Ovis aries: one gene and its partners. The protein of the gene in region 5 interacts with the protein of the main gene of each other region in a pairwise test. Links are inferred from orthologs where the notes say so. Each region holds a gene or a part of one and is shown on either strand. Other genes may lie near its edges. The genes, in order: STX6, STX16, STX5, STX4 and NAPB.

Region 1 (4,193 bases), on a different chromosome or scaffold from region 5:
CATGTGACTGCCGAACTACACCAGCCTGACTGTGGCACTAAGTTTTAAATTTTAATTAATTTAAAATTTAAAACTGATACTCAAATGCACTTACCAAAAATTTTAAAAATATACTTGGAACAGTTTGGGTATGTGAATCTACTTTTTCAACTGTAAGTTTAACGGATTCTAAAAACAGATCAAGTGTCTCTGATGAAAATTCAGCATCCAAATTGAGATGTGCTGTAAGTGTAAAACACACACCAGATTTGAAGACAGCACAAAAAGGGTGAGAGTCTTCGTTAATAATCTTTATAATTATCATGTTGAAATATTTTGACTATATCAGGTTATCGATGACATTAAAATTAACTTTACATGTTTTTCACTTTCCCTGTGTCTACTAGGAAATGTAAAATGGCATGTGTGGCTCACACTGCATTCTGGAGAACACTCGTCCAACAAAACCAAGGCAGACGCAAGAGGAAAGAGACTGGAAGCAGGAAGACCAATTAGAAACTCTTCTTGATGAGTCCAGGAAAGACACCCAGGACTGAATCACCTAAGTGATACCCATCTTCAAAACCCAATTCAAGACCTGCTACTACGTCCAAAGCTTTTCCAATTGTAACCTGTCCTAATGGGATGCCTTTCTCCAAACTACTAGGGGACTTAATCATCTGTAGGATTCACTTCAGCACTTAACCATTTCCACCAGTCATTTCTACTTAATTATTGGGTGACTTGTTTCTCAGATTAGACTACCAGCTCCTAGGCTAAAGGTCACAATTTAGGCTTCTTTCATTTTTCCACATCATGCAGTGAGTGTATTTTCAAAACTTTTAATAAACAGAGGTACATGGCTCCCCATATATTTCACCACATTATCTGGAGACATGTAGTTAATTTTACTTCTCCATAGCAAAAGGTTTTAATATCTTAAAGATATGAGCTAAAACAATGTACAAGTCAAACAAGACTCCTGACCAATGTTCCAATAAAGCAGTGATATCTAATCAGTGAGCAAGCCCTGGCAAACTGTACTATCAGGAAAAAAAGTCAAGATGGCAGAGCAATTTAGCATTTTCACAAATTCCATTTTAAAATGAAACAAAAAATTTTGATTATCTACAGCCTCCACTGCCAGACATAACCTTTGAAACCTAAGAATTAAGAATGTTTAAAGGAAAAACACACAGCTTTCACATTTAAAAATTAACCCCTAAAAAAAAATCAATTCTTCTAATAACATTTTCCAGGTAGAGATCTATGTATTATTAATCATCTAAACTCAGATTTTCCCACCTAAAGTCAGGTAAAGGCAAAAATATTTAGGGAAATGTTAAAATATATATAAATGTATCTTACTGTATCATGGATAATAAAGTATTTCACCTAGAGTATCACTTAAATTTTCTTAGAAGAACCTTTAAAAAAAAAAAAATCACATACACCCTCAAGCAACTGGTCAGCTTTTACCCTTACAGAAATAGAAATAGGGAGCTAGGAACTAGCTGAAAGCAAAGCAGTACTTTAGGGTGATTAGCACTGATCTCTCAGGAACTTTGCAGTTCTCAAATTTTTAACGTGTTTGACATTTAAAACAAAAGTTGTAACAACAAGATCCATCTTCCCTGAATTTGTTTAATGGCTACAAAGCCTATGTAACAGAGTGCCAAGTTTCTGGGTATCTGCAAACAACTGAGCAATCAAAGATGGAGTCACGACAGCTCACAGAGAAAAATAAGTTTAAGGCTATTCGAGTCTGAAAGGCAGAGGAAGAAATGGGGGAAACCTGTCAAACAGCCTGGATGAAATCAGGGAGTTAAAAAGCAAGCGCTCATTTCCTTTAGCACTGTGGGAAAAACCCAGTGCTAACAGAAAGCTAAGGAAAGTTTAGTTTGGCTGATTTCATTTTGTTTTCCTTCCAACATCATCACTGAGTTTGAACGGCTGCTTTCCTCCCCTCCCATTACTCAGTAAAAACTCCCCCACTGAATTGAGTCGTCTTCCGGAGCCAGGCGCCCCCGCCTCCAAGCCTGCTAACGTGCTCAGACGCCTCTGGGCATGTTGTGGTCTCACCAGTCTGCGGGGCCAGCGCTCCGAACTCAATGGACAATAGGAGCTCACCCCCGTCTACGCCAACTACAAAGCTCAGGAGGGCCATTTCCCTTTTCCTGCCCAGATGCTGTTTTTCCCCCTTCGAAGCAGGGCCCCGTGCTCCACTAAAGCCCCAGTTTGGTCTGGGACGCCTAAGCTCCCTTCCCACCTGCAGAAATGCTGAACCCCTCCTCCCGTTCAAACAAGTTATAGGGCAGCGCACAGGCCAAAGGGGACCCCCTTCCCAGGGGCTTGACTGGGGGCGTGGGTTTCAAAGTTCAGGTAGGACGGGAAAGGGAGGTCTCTGGACACTTGATCATGGCCCTCCAGGCTAAGCCGTCCCCACTGTCCCCACGCCAGCCTCTACTTGCCTCCCATCCCCCCTACAACGAGGAGAGGCGGGGAGGTGCGGGCAGGCAGCACGGCCACCGCCTCTTCCAGTGGAGCCCTCGGCAACACTCACCCTTTCACCACAAAGAAGGGGTCCTCCATGGACATGGCGTCCCGGCCCCCGGCCGCCTCACGTTTGCTCCGCGCACAGGGCGCCCGCGCCCTCCAAATTTCCCTCTGCCCACCCTATGCGCCTCGCGTAGCGGCCCGCGCCTCGGCCTGAGGGTCCCGAAGCCTCTGCGCGCGCAGGGCGGGGTGCACCGGCCAGCCGCTGGTCCAGCACTCGATGGGCACTGCAGACCAAATCCAGACTCTGGAGCCGGCCCCGCGGCTGTACCCTCCCCCGACTCCTCCCGGAGCGTCCGGCCGCCTGGCTCCGCCCCCAGGTTCCTCAGCCTCGGCCAATCACGAACGCCATCCGCCGCACCACTTCCGCACCCGTGCACACGTGATCACTGCCGACCCCGCCCCTCGTTGCCGGGTCCTAGGCACCTTGTCACACGACCCTGGAGGCGGGGCTCTGGGGGCGGCGGAAGAGGGCGGGTATTCTCTCCACTCGCCCCTCAGGATTCAGGGGCCGGAGCTGCTTGTCCCTACGCGGGAAAGGCATTCAGGTGTCCTAGGTATGCATTAGTATCTCCTTTGCATAATTCTTTCACCTTTCCTCTACTTTTGATACTTGATTTTGAAAACATATTGATTTAGAAATCCATCTCGTCCTCCACTTACAATAAAGCCTGCTCGTATACATTATCTGACTATATTGCACAACTTTATGTAGGTCTTACTATATCCAACAATGCGCTGAAGGCTGTATGTACATCATCTCAATATTCTTGGGGGGAAGGTATTATTACCATTTAGTAGATGAGAAAAGTTCAAAGAGGCTTCGAGATACAACCTGGACAGGGCAATCAGAGAATCTGTGCACTTTCCACCAGACGGCTGTGTTTTCTATTGCTGTGTACCTTTCTCGAAGTGACCAGTAAGATAATTTTTTCATACAGCATGTGATGCTTCCCAGGAGAAAGAACTTTTGAGGGACAAAGGAGGGGCCAGATATGGCAACTTCTTCTGAGCTAAATGGTTCAAAAGCACTTCCCAAAAGTATTTTGGTCAGAACAGTTATCAAATTCATATGCTAGATATGCTATGGGGTTTGTGAACATTAATTGCTGATTATCTTTGAGCACTTCCTGTATGTCAGGCACTGTGCGAGTGTTATCTCAGTTGCTCTCAGGAGGTAATTACTGTTGTTATCCCCATTTTACAAATGAGAAATCTGAGACTCTTGCAGGTTAAGTGACTTGCTTAAAGTACCAGTCTTTTTGGAGATGGAAGAGTCCTTTGAACCAGACAAATCCTGTTTGAACCTGAGTTCTGTTATTCAGTCCCTCATCTATAAAGCGTGCACAATAATATTTAGCTTGTGGATCGTTGTGAGGGTTAAATAAAAATGCACGGAAACCCCAAGGCCCCAAGGAAGTAAGGCAGTGAAGTCAGGGAAACTAGTCTGGAAGCTGCTGTGGTCATCCAGCCTGAAGGGCTGAGGACCAGAATAGGACAGCAGAGCAATTGTAAATGGAGAGGAAGCAGACAATCTGATAGGTATTTCCAAGGAAAAACAAAAACACCTAGACGTGGTGAAAGGCTGAATGGGGTTAAGGGGGAGAGAGGTGAAAATCAGACTCCAGGCTTCTCTGAGACCCTGGAGGAGCAGCTGA
Region 2 (3,513 bases), about 16 Mb from region 5:
CCATCCTCAGTGCCAGCCTGCGTGGCCAGAGCCGCTGTGTGTCTCAGTCCGGCATGCAGGCACCTCGGGGCCCCCGGCCCACTGTGAGCACCCCCTGTCCTCCCAGCTCTTCCATAGGTGTCAGCGTGCGGTACAGGCGCTGCCCAGCCGGGCCCGCCGGGCCTGCTCAGAGCAGGAGGAGCGGCTCCTCCGAAACGTGGTGGCCTCGCTGGCCCAGGCCCTGCAGGAGCTGTCCACCAGCTTCCGGCATGCACAGTCCAGCTACCTCCGACGTGAGTGTCCACCTGCGCCAGGCTCTCAAGTGACGAGCGTCCCAGTGCTCAGGTCACAGAACAACTCTGTGTTTCTGTCCTCCTCTTCTGCTAGTTCTCCGTTTTGTCCTTTGCTTTTTTCGTGGTTAGCCTTTGCATATCCTCCTACTTCACGAGGTAGAAGGTAGCTCCTTCTGCCCCCAGTGGTAGCCACATCGAGGTTGAGACCACCCCACGGGGCATTGACAGTCCTCCTCTAAAAAAACAAAAGAGAAACTTACTCTTTTGTCAAGTTTAAAGTATTCGAAAATCAATGTTGCATATTTTAAAAGCATGTCGTTTTCTAGGTGTTAGGCTTGCGGGAGCTGCTGATAAATGGGTAAAAATAGTTGTAATCATGTTGAAGCTTCTTTGCCTATCTGTCTTAACACCTTACCTGGTAATAGTTAAAACAGACACATTCTCTCCCAGCCTCCCTTCCTTCCCAAATAGAGCAAAGTCAGGTTTCAGCTACATCCTCATTCAGAGCACCCATAAACTGGCTTTTTCTGTATTGCCATTGTAATCAATGATATCCCCATAGGCTCCCCCAAAAGCTAGTTCTCCCTCCCGACAACTGCCATATTTGTGTTTGTGCTTTCATTTTGCTACTTCTAAAATTTGATTAGGGCCACTTGGAATTCTTACCAGAGGTACTTTTAGAGAGAAATACTTAATGTTTTAAATGCTTTTTAACAGCAGTTAAATGTTTCTGCTTCACTTAGAGAGTCTCAGATGATGGTGTTGCAGTGTCATTTACCTGGCATCCAGTGAATTATTCACATTTGCAGTGTGATTTCTGTCCTAAGTAACCCTGAGTGCTTGCCTGCTGTTGCATGGTTGTGGTCCTTTATTGTCCCCCATCTCTGCTGGAGGTGAGCAGGGCTTCTTCTAAAGTGGCCAAGAATGTCTCCATTTTGACTGTTGAGTTTTACTCTAGATGCCCCCTTTTAATGGTGGAACAGTAACCAGGATGGTTTACGTATTCAAGTAAAGTGAATTCCTGTCCACGATAGGCATGAAGAATCGAGAGGAAAGATCCCAGCATTTTTTTGCTACATCAGTGCCGCTGATGGACGATGGCGAGGATAATACTCTGTATGACCGGGTATGTGTCGGGGCCACAGACCCGCCCACTGCGCATGTGCGCTCCGCTCTGCTCTCTTCTCTTTGCGGACCTTTAACTTCCCTGAGACACAGATGGATCGGCACTGCATGGCGTGCACGTCTGTCAAGTGCTCTGCAGCTGGCGGGAGAACAGTCATGGGGGCCATACTGTTTCTTCCTTTCTAAAGACTGCACGGAGACCTTGTCAGCTGCCTTCCAGAACCTTCTGGAAAACAGTCTGCACACCCCACTCCCAGGAAGAACCCTGAGCCGCACAGGCTTCTCCCTGGTGCTTTTGCCACTTGGCCCTGGGGTTGCTGCTGACAGGGGGTTCTCTGTATCCCCCGCTTTGGCTGGTGATGCTTTAGAGCCTGCTGTTTCAGGGAGATCAGATCTTTCTTGTTAGGGAAAAAATAAGTGCTTGTGTGTTGTGTGCTCTATGGAAATGGTTTCAGATTTTATTTTCTTTAAGTTATATCTAAAATGGTACACCATCACTTTCTTGGGAAGAAATCTAACGTGCACGTTTCGTCCTCTTTGTTTGGCTAGGGTTTTACAGACGAGCAGCTAGTGCTGGTGGAGCAGAACACACTGCTGGTGGAGGAGAGGGAGCGGGAGATCCGCCAGATCGTGCAGTCCATCTCCGACCTGAACGAGATATTTAGGGACCTGGGAGCCATGATCGTAGAACAGGTATGTGCGTTTACCTGCCTCATCGGTGGGCTCTCCTGCCCTGATACCTCATTCTTCCCCAGGCTTTTCGATTCTGCACTTTTGTCAGGAAAGCAGTTGGAACCCATTCCTTCTGTGTATATACAGTGTGTTTGCTCAGTCGTGTCCGATTCTTTGTGACCCCATGGATTATAGCCCGCCAGGCTCCTCTCTCGGTGGGATTCTCCCAGGCAAGAATACTGGAGTGGGTTGCCGTTTCCTACTCCAGGGAGTTTTCCCAACTCACTATGTATGTGTGTATGTATATATGTGTACAAATTATATGCAGACTGCTGTCATGCCCCATAAAAATACTAATAAACTATTTTTTAGATGAGAAACAGGTGTCAGTGACAGTACTCACGTCCTCTGCCTCCATCCCAGGGCTGTTGCCAGGAGCCTCCGTGCCGGGGGCCTGGCTGGCTCTGGCCACGCTCAGCGGTGATTCTGACGATGGATAAGTTTTCCCATCTAATTTTGGCAGGTTATTGTGTAACGGCAACTGGAACCACTAGCCCTCAAGTAGAATTAGATTGTTTGTTCACTGTTACAATCTGATTAGGGTGTTTTATTATCTTGCCAGTGGGGATTTGGGTCCTGATCCCCCGGAACCAGCTGCAGACTGGAGCAGACAAGGCTGTGGAAGATCTAGTTAGGTTAATTACTCCCGTGGCTCTCATGGAACTGTTAGCGCTATCGTCTCTCCTGACACAGCACACTTCTGTTCAGAGCCCCATCCTTCCGTGGAGCCTGGTGTTCCCTTCTTCCTGTTTGAACCCAGCAATTAAAAAATTACAAGCAAAACTCTCCTGGAGGTGAACGTGTGATTTTACATGGTGTGTTGGAGGCAGCTGTGTTTGCTTTGACGCATGGAGGCGCGTGGAGATGCTCAGACATGATAGTAAGTTTCCAGACCTCGTTCTAATCAGGTCCAGCTTAACTGGCCTTCTCTGGTTCCTTGAACCTGTGAGTTTAAGCCACAGATGGGCACAGAAGCAAGCCCTTCACCACTCAGAGCCTGTTTCCACTGAACCATATATTTCTTAAAGCCCCAGTAAGCCTGAATATGGAGTGTCCTGTAGTGGCTAAATCCAAAAAAGAAACCTCAATTTGTCAGTATTTTCTTCTCATGAGCTGGGCTTTCCTGCAGCTAACGGCAGCACTCTGCCACTGAGCACCTCTCTCTGCTTGTTATGGACTCCAGAGCTGACAGGGTGTCCCTTTACCTCACAGTCAAGTAGAACAGATAATCCTGTGGATGACGATGCCTGCAATCTGCATCTCTCATTTCTGAAGCTCCATTTTCCCAGTTGCGCTTGTTGATTGTCTGTGACTGTCATTTATCACCCAGGGTACCGTCCTTGATAGAATCGACTATAATGTTGAGCAGTCCTGTATCAAAACT
Region 3 (3,750 bases), on a different chromosome or scaffold from region 5:
TGACAAGCATATTGACCTTCCAGGGTAGGGTAGGTATTCCAGGCAGATCTCTACTTCATTCTCCTGTGACTGGTTTGGATTTGGTGAGGGGCTTCAAGAGGGGACCAAGAGCCTCAGCTGGAGCTGGGAACAAATTCTTCACCTTTCACTCCTGGCAGCAGGCAGAACTCCTGCTTCATCCAGCCCAAGGAAAACGGTAGGACTGGAAGATGCAGATGAAACAGGTCCAAATACTTCTGGAGATGGTCCTAGAAGTTACCACTAATCAGAGACCCACTCTGGGATCGTATACCCTGCTTTGAAGGGAATTTTCCATGATAATTAAGTACTGCTGCACTGGGTTAGGCCTGCTGGAAGCAGCTGTGTATACAGAGCCCAAAGCCTGGCCCCTCAGGGTCATCAGTCCAGCCCTTTCAGTTGTAATACTGGGCAGCAGGCTCCCTCCATTTCTGCCTAGGCCCTTCTTCGGCGCTCCCACCCAGAAATGACGACATGGCTAGTGAGGCTGACAGTCTTGCTGTAATTGGGAGAAAACGGGCTGCAGCACGTTTGGCAGATTGAGAGTCACCTGCAGCCAAAGTTGGGGTTGTGCAGGCCGCCGAGGGGCTCAGGGCCCCCTGCCTCATGTCGTGGAGAGGAAGAAGTCAAATTCTAACCCAGATGGGAAAGTTGGTCCCTGGGGCAGTTTCACTTCCTCTCCTTGCTCTCAGGAAGGTGGGGAAAGGCATCATCTCCCCTTGCTGCCAAAGTTCCCTTTGCGACAGGCTGGGGAGGGTTTATAAAAATCTCCTGGTGGAGACAATCTCCCGGACGAGCCCCTCAGTTGGCCTCTGCTCCTTTCCAGCCACTTCACAGCAGAGTCCAAATCCAGAACCGTGTGTGTTTCATGGGCTGGAGGGTGGTGAGGGGAGGGCTGGGTGGCCAGAGGCAAGGAGTGGGGGACCGAGGGCAGTGGTCATTCTTAGCAGTTCCAAGGAAACAGGGCCCTTCTCCCAAGCACCCTGCACAGGCTCAGTGGCAGCTCTGGCCACCTGCCCTCCCAGAAGGGTTCCAAACCCCCATGGAGTGCCTCAGAGTGGAGAGGGTTCAGGCAAGGAAGACCACGAAGATGATGAAGAAGACAATGAGGATGAGGAAGATTTTGACCATGAGCCACCGGTTGGACGTGACCGACTGGAAGTACTTGAGGATCTCTGAGTGGGCGGCCTCCACGTCCAGCTGGGCTCCCAACACATTCTCGTCGATCCTGAGGATAGGTTCGGGAGGAGGGGAAAGAGAAGAATGTTGGATTAAAAAGACTGCTGTTGAATTTTATTTTTTATGTATGTATATATTCTTGCCTAAAAAATCCCCTGGATAGAGGAGCCTGGCGGGCTATAGTCCATGGGTCCCACAGAGTCAGACACAACTGAAGTAATTCAGCATGAACACATAGAGGAAAAAGCTCTGGAAGGGTAATATAACAATTCTTGGCTCTGCAACTTATTAGCTAATGAACCTAAGCCACTCATTTAACCTCAAGTCTCATTTCCCTCAACTGCAAAGGAAGAAAAAACGAGATAATATAAATCCTAGGTTCCTTGTCAGGCCTAAGCGAGTTATATAAAAGTGCCCAACCCATACTAAGAGAATCCAAAATGTCTACATAACTTTTTGCTCATCGGTATTTACTAATTTTTGTCTAAGTAACAATATGTGGTCAGTTGTGTCCAACTCTTTGCAACCTCATGGACTGAAGCCAGCCAGTCTCCTCTGTCCAGGGGATTTTCCAGGTAGCAATACTGGAGCTGGTTGCCATTTCCCTCTCCACGGGATCTCCCCAACCAGGGCTTGAACCTGTGTCTCTTGCGTCTCCTGCATGGGCAGGCCACTAGGGCCACCTGGGAAGCCTCTAATAAACAGTACTGATTTGTAATAAGGGGGGAAAGGTTACAGAAAATCATGGTCAGGAAACCCTTATTCTAAGTGAGAAAGGAAGAACCTGATGATATGGACAGAACATCAAGGGATGAGAAAAGCCCTATATTAGAACATGTCTCTTAGGATATAGAGAAGCCCTCAGAAGAATGGCAATCACTTGAGACATTGCTGAGGAAAATCAAACATTTCCCAGCTAATCTGCATATACAATCCTAAAAACCAAATATAAACCCTGGTCTTTGCAAAGGGAGTCACTGGAAGCAGGGACCTTTAGGAGCTGTGAGGTCAGAAAAGTTGGTGGAGCCTGATAATCAAGGAAGAAAGTGAGAGGAAAGGCTGGGCCACTGGCTGCAAGCCCAAGTTCCTGGTAAGGTGGTCAGGAGAATGACAACCTAATCTCTGTCCAAATGCAGAAGCCTGGATTCTACATGACTCCCTATTTATGTCAGAGAGGCTAAAGTATTAGGTTCCCTAGTTTTTGGTATAATTACATTTCTCAGTGTGGATGCACTTGTCATCTCATACCCAATAAAGCTCAATCATATTGGCAATTATAATGGCTTCACTTAACAAAAATGGAAGAATGATGAATGCAATCTGGCATATAAAAGATTTTAAATGGGAGTCTGTGAATGAAAACTAGTGCAAGGGAAGAAGTTACTATCACTCAATAGTAATTTTAAAGAGAGGAAGTTCCTTCTTTATGGAAGAATATAAGCTAATTAACGTAGAAGAAATGAGCAAATTAGAAAATGACCATTTTGCCACACACACTCTCAAACAAATCAGACAAGGATCACCAGCAGGCCGATAAAGAGGTAACCTCATCAAGTGCTTCCTGATGTGATCACCTACACAGCCGGCCGAAAGTACTGAACTTAATCATAGGGACAAACAGTGCACAGAGGACTCAAAGTGTCACTCCACTGATGACTTAAGTCTGAGTGTCACCACCTTGAACAAGAGACCAAACAGGGTATCACCAATAAAGAGAACCTCATCAAGTGTCTACTGATATGACTGCCTACAGGGATGGCTGAAACTACTGAACTTAATTTAATCAGAGGGACAAACATCGGACAAAAACATGTCTATGACTTTGTATAAGAGGTACTGGTCTCTTAAAAACAAAGTAAATTATCACACACACTCAAAAAGGCAGACTAAAGAGACACAACAATTCAATGTATGAATGTTGTCTAAATCTTAAATTGAAAGGAAAAGGCTAAATTTTTTTCGAAGAGTTGGGGAAATCTGAGTATGGATTGATTATTGGGTTGTGTTGGAGAAGTGTTCAATTTCTTAGGTTTGATGGTGGCTCAGAGGGTAAAGCATCTGCCTGCAATGCAGGAGACCCAGGTTCGATCTCTCAGTTGGGAAGATCCCCTGGAGAAGGAAATGGCAACCCACTTTAGTGTTCTTGCCTGGAGAATCCCATGGACAGAGGAACCTGGTGGGCTACAGTCCACGGGCTCGCAAAGAGTCGGACAGGACTGAGTGACTTCACTTTCACTTCATGATATTGTGGCTGTTCAGGAGAAATACTTATTCTTGGCAGATGCTTGCTGAAGTATCTGGGGATAACACACGATGTTTGAAAAAACTGTCATGATGTTTGCACCTACTTTTTTTTTTTTACATGCACACAGCCTTGTTTATTTATTGTTCTTTATTTGTTTTAAAATATTTATTTGGCTGCACCAGGTCTTAGTTTCGGCACGCAAGATCTCTTAGTTGCAGCGTGTGGGATCTAGTTCCCTGACGAGGGATTGAACCCAGGCCCCCTGCACTGGGAGTGCAGAGTCTTAGCCACTGGACCACCAGGGAAGT
Region 4 (4,285 bases), on a different chromosome or scaffold from region 5:
CTTAGACTAAAGGTGTGCCAGGATTTTGCATTTCCCAGATTTTGCAGGCCCACCTGGGCACTCAGCCTCTCACACAATGACTACCACAAGCCCCCCACCCCCTGTAAATGCCTTCCCTGCTTGTCCATTTTCCTGATGCCTAAAATCTGCTCATTCCTTGGAGTTCCTTTCTCCAGGACACATCTGCTGTCCTGGGTTCAGTTGCACCCTTTCAAGATGCCCAAATTGTGGGGGGGCAGTTCTTGAGGCACTAGCCTACTGTGTTCCCCCCTTTGTTTGGCAAAGTAATAAAACTACTCTTTCCTTCTCTTCCATTAAAAAAAAAATCCCCAAATTGTTTAATCTTCAATCTGGGGTCTTTGCTGATTTCTGGGCCCACCTACTCCAACTCTGACCTCCAAGAACTCCAAACCATGCCTCTCTGGGCACCCAGAGGACACTGCTCAGACCATTTCAAATCTCCTTATTAAGATGATGATTCAGTGACCTTCCCCATACACACACACCAGGGAAGTTCCTCTTCCTGACTTGAATTCTGTCCTTGGGGCAGAGGATGTCCTCATCACATGGGTAGGAAACCACCCAGTCACTTGACTGCACCCTTTTTTTCCCTGGGCAGAGCCATTAACTACCAAGTCCTACCTGAGTAATGTCTTTGTCATCTATGCAAGCTTAACTCCCCATCTTGGCTTCTAGAAAGTATATCTCCTACAACCAAGCCCAGATCATGTCTGGGGTCTCAGCAACTTCTCACTGAATGGAGGAGAAGAAGGCAAGGTGTTATAACAGATTGGAAGTCAGGAAACCCGGGTTCTTGACCTTGGGGTAAATCCTTTTTTATCTCTGAGCCTCAGTTTCCTCATTTGGAAAATCATCAGGTTGGATTTAATGATCTCTAAGAGCCCTGCCTTCTTACATCTGCCATCTAATGATCTATTGAACACTTGCTGAAATGTCCTACTTCTGGGAATAATGAACCCACCTGGGTTTTTCTCATTCTTGTGTTGACGGAGTTATAATTCTCATCAGCTTCCTCCTTCTGGGGCTCTATGGCTGTGGAAAGACACAGAAGTATTGGTAGAGGAGGGGGTTTGACCTCTGGCTTCTGAAATTCATTTGGGGACTGGGACCCAGCCATGCAGCCATACAATAGAGAGAGATACAATATCTCCACAGAGCTTTTTTTTTGAAATAAAATTCATCATAAATGACTACTCTTGAGCCTCTGACAGGCAAAAGTATATTTTTCTTTGCAATAAATACATCAGAGAATTCCCACATGTTTGGAGAAGCTTCCTAACAAAACCCACATCTTCCCACCCAAAGAATACACACTGGGCAGCAAGAATTGTAGGAGTACAGATGATCCTTGCACAACTGTGGGTCCACTTATACCTGAATTTTTAGAAAATAAATGCATACTACAGTACTACACAATCCATGACTGCATGAATCCACCCTTGCAGAACCTGGGATGTGGACGGCAGACTATACAGTTATATGCAGATAACGACCTGAAGGTGGAGGTAGCAACGCTAACCTCTGCCTTGGACAAAGATCAAATGGACATGGTTTCATTATAAATAAGGGAACTTGAGAGGCAGGCATATGCTGTGGAAAGAACTTTGGACCGAAAGCCAGGAGATGGAGATTCTAGACGTTGGCCTGCTGTGTGACCTGGATATATATCACTGGCCTCTCTGGACCACACACTGCCCAGAAATACCAGGAGTTGGGCAGGATCAGAGGAAAGTATCTGGCTAAAGTCCTAGGAGCTCACCCTTCAGCTGCGCGCGGATGTCCCTCCCTAGCTGTTTGATCTCGTCACGCAGGTTCTGCAGGTCCTGCTTCATGCCTAAACAAGAGAAAGCCATGATGCCCAAATAGCAACCTCTACCTCAACAAATCTCCCTGGCCACCACCTGTGTGGAACTACAACCCCCACAAGCCTCCAGCTGAGCATGCGTTCTGCACCCGGGGTTTCACTCACTCTCCTCGGGAAGGGGCGTGGCCAGGATGGTGACCTGCTGCTTCTCCAACTCTCGGACTTTATTCTCTAGCTTGACGATAGTCTGCCGAATTGTCCGAACCTGGGGACGATGACCGAGAGGGCTGAGGGAGATGTGGGCGCTGCTCCAGGCTGCTCTGCTCCTCGGGCCCTCCAGGCCCCTCGTGAATCCAGGCCGAGACTCCAGCCTCTTACCTTCTGGAAGAACTCATCGTCCGGGCTCCCCAGCCGTGCAGTACCCGGGTGTACCACCAGCGCGACTCGCTCCTTGTCTTCATCGTCCGAGCTGTCATCCCCCTGCCAGGGCCGGGGTCACTGGCATCACTTCCTTGCTACTGCTCTCCCCCAGTAGAACTCACGGGCTTCCGGGACTTTCCTTCCTAGCCCACAGTCATCCCTCCCGGCCCCGAGGACCAGGAGTCCTGCATTCCAGTAGACCCCATCCCGTCCACCCGTCCCCAACCCTGCTGCGCCAAATTCTCACCTGCCTCAGCTCGTGGGTCCTGTCCCGCATGGCGGCCCGAGATCCCTCTCGCCGGCGCCGGAGCCCGGCGGGCCTCAAGATTCTAAGTTTGGAACTCCCGTACCCAACTCACACTCTGACACTCCCCTCCGCCCTCACCCTGCAGGCCCCAAACCCTCCCCCAAGAGTCGCTAGAGGCTCTGTCCCTGGCACCATTCACAGTTTCAAAGGGAAGGAGCCGACCTCGGGGACCCCCAAGATTCCACAGGTTGGAATTCCCTTTTCTTTCCCCCCGCCCTCTCCTGTAGCCTCAGCCCCGCCCCCTCTGGAAAGACTGGAGCATGCGCACCGGATCGCGTCCCTTCCCCACCCCAGGGAAAGGCCGAGGTCGGAAGCTTCAGCGCCCCGAACGGAAGCGAAATTGCCAGGACGTGAGAACCCGCCCCCTTTGCCGGAACTATCGCATCTTCCAGCGGAAATCTAGTTGCCAAAAGGGGTGGGAATGCGTCATTGGTACGTGATCTGTGAGGCCCTCTCAATTCGCATCACCCCATAGTGCAAACCCCCCCGCGCGCGTCATGTGACCGGCCTGGTCCCAACCTCTCAGACCACGGAACGTGACGCTTCGACTGTCACATGTCTCTGCCCTGTCAACTCCATCTCTGGAACACCCATCTCCCCACGACGTCCTCGGCACCCCGCGCGCGAGTTACCTCTCTTCAGAACCCCCGCGAGGCGGGGAGGGGGCGCTGACTACCCCCAGAGACAGTGGGTGGTAGGACCCAGGCTGAATCCGGCTTCCTTTCTTTTGGGTCCGCGAGTGTGGGCAGACTGAGGACTTAGAATTTGGAGCTGTCAACATCATGAGACCTTGAAATTCAGAAAAGAATAAAATACAGCGTCAGAGACTTGCGAGATTTTGTAGGCAGAGCATCTGGGGGTGGGAAGTGACCTCACCCGAGGCGGAACTCTCTTCTCCCGCATACTCCTGGCACAGTTTCTGACAGGTGGGCGGCTGGCTGGCGCCCGGCTTGAACACTGCAGTCCCGCTGCACTCACCACCTTTGAGCAGGGCATTTCAGGGCAGCTCGGGCTTAGAAAAAAGTCTGTTACATTGAGCAGCATGTCACTTAGACAACCCCCTCCCCAGACCCCCACCTTGCACTGGGGGTCTACCCTCTGGAACCCACAAAAATATTACATATTATCGTGGCCTGTGAGTTACTAAAGTGAGGGCATGATTGTGGACAGAGGAGCCTGGAGGGTTACAGTCCATGGGGTCACAAAAGAGTCGGACACGACTAAGTGACTAACACACACAAATTGTAGCCCACCAGGCTCCTCTGCCCATACAATTTTCCAGGCAAGAATACCAGAGCGGGTTGCCATTTCCTCCTCCAGGGGATCTTCCCAACCCAAGGATCGAACCAGCATCTCTTGTGTCTTCTTCACTGGCAGACAGATTCTTTACCACTGAACCAACTAGGAACCCCAGCACATGTTAGGCCCTCAGTAAATATTTGTTGATAGAGTCTTAGCCTCTTATATAACTGAAGATGAAGCTTATGATTCCCTGGTCTTCTCTTTTATGCTTCAGGCTTTTGGTGACACTTCCCTAACCCTAACCCTGTAGGCATTTATTCATTCAGTGGATATTTATTGTATGGGCCAGACACTGTTTTAGGGCCAGAGATATAACAGGGCAGACAAGAATGGCTTGCCCTTTTGGAACCCACCTTCTATAGAAGGATGCCCCAAAGTCACTCAGTGAGTCTCAGAATAGCTGAGAGGAATATTAGTTCTCCTGGATCCCA
Region 5 (3,513 bases):
CGAACGTCAGGGCTTGAGTGCCTGCACCACGCGGGCGTGGCACTAAATGCTGATGTGCAAGGACTCTACTGTGCATGCGGGCTGTGCCCAGTTTTCCCCTTTGGAAATAAACTACAGCTAATCCTTATACCACAGCCCTTATTTCAGTGTGAGATTGTCAGGAAACTCGGGATTTCTGTGTTAAATGGGCTGCTGAAACAGGAGGGCGATCCCACAACCACAGGGCATGTGTGGAGCGAGGTCAGGCCTTCAACTGCAGAGTGTACGCTTCTCCACCTCAAAAACAAAGGACATCTGAAAAACTTCACCACTTCAAATACCCAAGATCATTCTTTCCTCAAAACCAACACTTGGAAAAATGCTTTTTAATACAGTCAGATAGTACTTGCTTTGGCAGCACACATACTAAAAAAGTCAGATGAATGCTGTGTGTATAAACTGTTCGTAATTATTGGATTTTACGACCTCCCGTTCACTGCATCTCCACATAAACTATTCAGAAGTAAGGGAACGAACCTTTGTTTCCCTTAGTGGGCAAGGTACACACTCATGAAATTAACATTAGAAGACTTAGATAAAGTTAATTTCCAAAAAACTGTCCACAATGCAGCATAGATGGTGTTTCAGAAGACGGTACTGACAACAGGATAAATTTAACAGAGTTTCTCCACAGAAACTTCAGATGATCAGGGTTAAAAATCTCCAAATCTCCACAGTTGGGGAGTGCGTCTCCCTCCAGCAGCAGAACTCGTGGGAGGTCTGGGGGTGCGAGGCTCACCTTGGGGGTCCGCCTTCTTGTAGGCGTTCCCGGCGTCCACAAAGCTGGTGGCTGAGTCGTGTTTGCTCTGCAGCTGCATGTGGAGCTTGGCGGCTTGACAGAATGCATTTCCTGCAGCTGAAGACGACACATGAGTGAGTCAACACAGGAGCAGCCACCCCCGGGGCAGCCCCACTCCAGCCCACGCCTGGGGAAGGCCCCGTCCTGACAGTGGCACACGTGCATGTGACCCGGTCACTGCCGGTGGCCACAAAGATGCCTGGGACCCAATGGGCCAGCAACAAGCGCTGCTCTCAGCCTCAGGCCTCCGTCCACACTGACTGCGCACTTAGCACTCAGCTCCGTCCCCAGTGCAGGCCCCACACTGATGGGCGTCTCTGAGGAGGCATGAGGCTGGGAGGATCCATTTCTACTGACTCGGCCGGCATAGCCGGAGAAATGGCAACACAAGCAGCAGCAGCATCACAAGCCCCCAGATCAGACCACCCCGCTTCAAGTCTTGCTCTGCACAGGACAAGAGGACTTCCGGGCACTTCTGAAGATATGGACCCACCAGTGTAGCCTGGGCCCTGGCAGTCTGAGCCAACGCTGGCCCAAGATTGGAGGGGGGACTGGAGAAGCCTGCCCACCAGGCCTTGACCCCTACCTTTGTGGATCATGAACCTGGCAGCCCAGAGGAGGGTCCAAGCTGCTGCCAAGTGGTGGGCAGGTACCTAGGACCTCCGGGTAGCTGGAAACTTCCCACCACAGCTCAGGAATGCAACAGCCCAAGAGCAGCTCTGATGAGCTGGGTCTCAGAAGTGTGTAGCATCACTCGGACCTCCTAGGCAAAGTGCTCAGGACAGCGTGGCCCCAGAAACACATTCACGTGCTGGCCATTTCCATAACTACATGTATATCTGCCCTCAGAGCACACCTGTGCTTTGCCAGGTTGAAATGTCATCATTTATTTTACAACTTAATTCTCCTCCTCCCACCAGTAATTTCATTTTTTGACAGTTTATCTATGCTGGCCATCCCAGAACCAATGGTGTTCCATCCCTTCCTGGCTGGGGGTAACAGCACAGCACGCAGGCTCTCCTGGGCTGGCTCCACTTCCCCGGACAGTATTGAAAGCACTGCTTTGACAATTTCACGCTCCCACCTTCCAAAACAAGCTGCTGACTCACCTTTTCAATCTGAGCACTCAGTCCAAACACCACTAACCTCTGTCTCTACCAATGTGGAAGTATCTTTAAAGGAGCATATTATTAAAATAAAGTTACACACATTCTCAGACCCAGTTTCCTCAACTGTAAACATCTAATTCCTGCCAGGATGACCTCTCAAGAGCAGAGTAGCAGACAAATCAGACAAATTCTTTTATCCTCATAAAATAACTTCTAAAACTATAAAGAGATGAGATGCAGTGGTATCATGATCACTACCACCACAACATGGAAACAATTTCAAAGAACCTAATTTTCTTTCAGTTTATTATTTCCTTTTTTAACCACTTTTAAAATTGAGGTATAGTAGATTCACAATGTTGTGTTAGTTTGATGTACAGCAAACGGTTTCAGTTATATGTGTGTGTGTGTGTGTGTATATATATATTCATTTTCAGACTCTTTTCCTTTATAGGCTATTATAAAATACCTAGTTTAGTTTCTTGTGACATACGGTAGGTCCTTGTTGTTTATTTTATAAACTGTGGTATCTGTTAGTCCCAAATTCAAGGAACCTAATACTCTGTAAAATACACTGAGCACCTGTCTACTGTGCTGCACATATGGGTCCAGGCCCTGCAGGCAGGGCAGAGAGAAAGCTTCCAGAAACACGCTGGTCATCCAAGGTTTATGTTCCAGGGAGGGATAGCACATACTAAAAGCACAGACAATACAAACAAACAAATGGACTTCACTTATTTTTGCTAGATGGTGGTAAGGGCATCAGGGAAGAGGGGAAGGGGCTTCCCAGGAGAGTGGACCGCCAGGGATGGCCAGGAGAGACCTCACTAAGAGGATGATGACATTTGTAGAAGGGCCTGGAGGAAAATAGGGACTAGCCACACCCTACGGTGGGGAAGACAGTGTCAGAGGACAGCACAGGCAGAGAGTCAGAGGGGGAGCCAGGGAAGAAGTGGGCAGGTAGGAGAAGCGTCCAGAGTGAGGAGAGGATGGGAGAGCAGCTAGACTCTGAAGGCCACCTTGAGGGATTATGGCTCTGCCCTGAGATTACATGGCCTGACCAGAGACTTAACAGGGCTACTTTGGTTTCTTCATTAAAACAAACAGGTAAAGTCAAGAGGCAGGGAGATGTCAGCCCAGGCAAGAGATCACAAGGGTAGGGGTGAGGGTATACATATATCCCCTTCAGTCACATAAACAGTAACACTCCTCTGAAAGGAACTTTCAAAGGTTAGAACATCTGGTCCCCAGATAAACAAAGGAAAAGGTCTTTTTAGATAAGATCACTTTTTACATATTATTACTGGATCTGATCCTGGTTTTTCCAACAGTCATGTATGGATGTGAAAGTTGGACCATGGACCATAAAGGTGGCTGAGCCCTGAAGAACAGATGCTTTTGAACTGTGGTGTTGGAGAAGACTATTGAGAGTCCCTTGGACAGCAAGGAGATCCAACCATTCCATCCTAAAGGAAATCAACCCTGAATACTCACTGGAAAGACCGATGCTGAACCTGAAGCTTGAATACTTTGGCCACCTGAAGCGAAGAGCCGACTCATTAGGAA

What was found.
Region 1: the proteins of NAPB (region 5) and STX6 interact in binary tests that used the Homo sapiens proteins (3 or more experiments, as listed by UniProt). The two-hybrid records come from large-scale screens. The link is inferred for Ovis aries from reciprocal best matches to the Homo sapiens genes NAPB and STX6.
Region 2: the proteins of NAPB (region 5) and STX16 interact in binary tests that used the Homo sapiens proteins (3 or more experiments, as listed by UniProt). The two-hybrid records come from large-scale screens. The link is inferred for Ovis aries from reciprocal best matches to the Homo sapiens genes NAPB and STX16.
Region 3: the proteins of NAPB (region 5) and STX5 interact in binary tests that used the Homo sapiens proteins (3 or more experiments, as listed by UniProt). The two-hybrid records come from large-scale screens. The link is inferred for Ovis aries from reciprocal best matches to the Homo sapiens genes NAPB and STX5.
Region 4: the proteins of NAPB (region 5) and STX4 interact in binary tests that used the Homo sapiens proteins (3 or more experiments, as listed by UniProt). The two-hybrid records come from large-scale screens. The link is inferred for Ovis aries from reciprocal best matches to the Homo sapiens genes NAPB and STX4.

The regions. Positions count from the first base shown.
Region 1 is NC_056065.1:61,535,937-61,540,129, forward strand, and holds the start of STX6 (syntaxin-6), read right to left. Parts: upstream 2,805-4,193; 5' UTR 2,578-2,804; coding exon 2,543-2,577; intron 1-2,542. UniProt on the Homo sapiens protein: SNARE promoting movement of transport vesicles to target membranes. Targets endosomes to the trans-Golgi network, and may therefore function in retrograde trafficking.
Region 2 is NC_056066.1:57,386,934-57,390,446, reverse strand, and holds part of STX16 (syntaxin-16), read left to right. Parts: intron 1-106; coding exon 107-272; intron 273-1,306; coding exon 1,307-1,398; intron 1,399-1,946; coding exon 1,947-2,090; intron 2,091-2,691; coding exon of another isoform or gene 2,692-2,709; exon of another isoform or gene 2,710-2,816; intron 2,817-2,822; exon of another isoform or gene 2,823-3,009; intron 3,010-3,459; coding exon 3,460-3,513. UniProt on the Homo sapiens protein: SNARE involved in vesicular transport from the late endosomes to the trans-Golgi network.
Region 3 is NC_056074.1:37,649,246-37,652,995, forward strand, and holds the end of STX5 (syntaxin-5), read right to left. Parts: intron 1,247-3,750; coding exon 1,087-1,246; 3' UTR 501-1,086; downstream 1-500. UniProt on the Homo sapiens protein: Mediates endoplasmic reticulum to Golgi transport.
Region 4 is NC_056077.1:27,673,190-27,677,474, reverse strand, and holds the start of STX4 (syntaxin-4), read right to left. Parts: upstream 2,808-4,285; 5' UTR 2,523-2,807; coding exon 2,493-2,522; intron 2,306-2,492; coding exon 2,204-2,305; intron 2,091-2,203; coding exon 1,991-2,090; intron 1,856-1,990; coding exon 1,781-1,855; intron 1,279-1,780; exon of another isoform or gene 1,054-1,278; coding exon 983-1,053; exon of another isoform or gene 1-982. UniProt on the Homo sapiens protein: Plasma membrane t-SNARE that mediates docking of transport vesicles. Necessary for the translocation of SLC2A4 from intracellular vesicles to the plasma membrane.
Region 5 is NC_056066.1:41,614,636-41,618,148, forward strand, and holds part of NAPB (beta-soluble NSF attachment protein), read right to left. Parts: intron 896-3,513; coding exon 779-895; intron 1-778. UniProt on the Homo sapiens protein: Required for vesicular transport between the endoplasmic reticulum and the Golgi apparatus.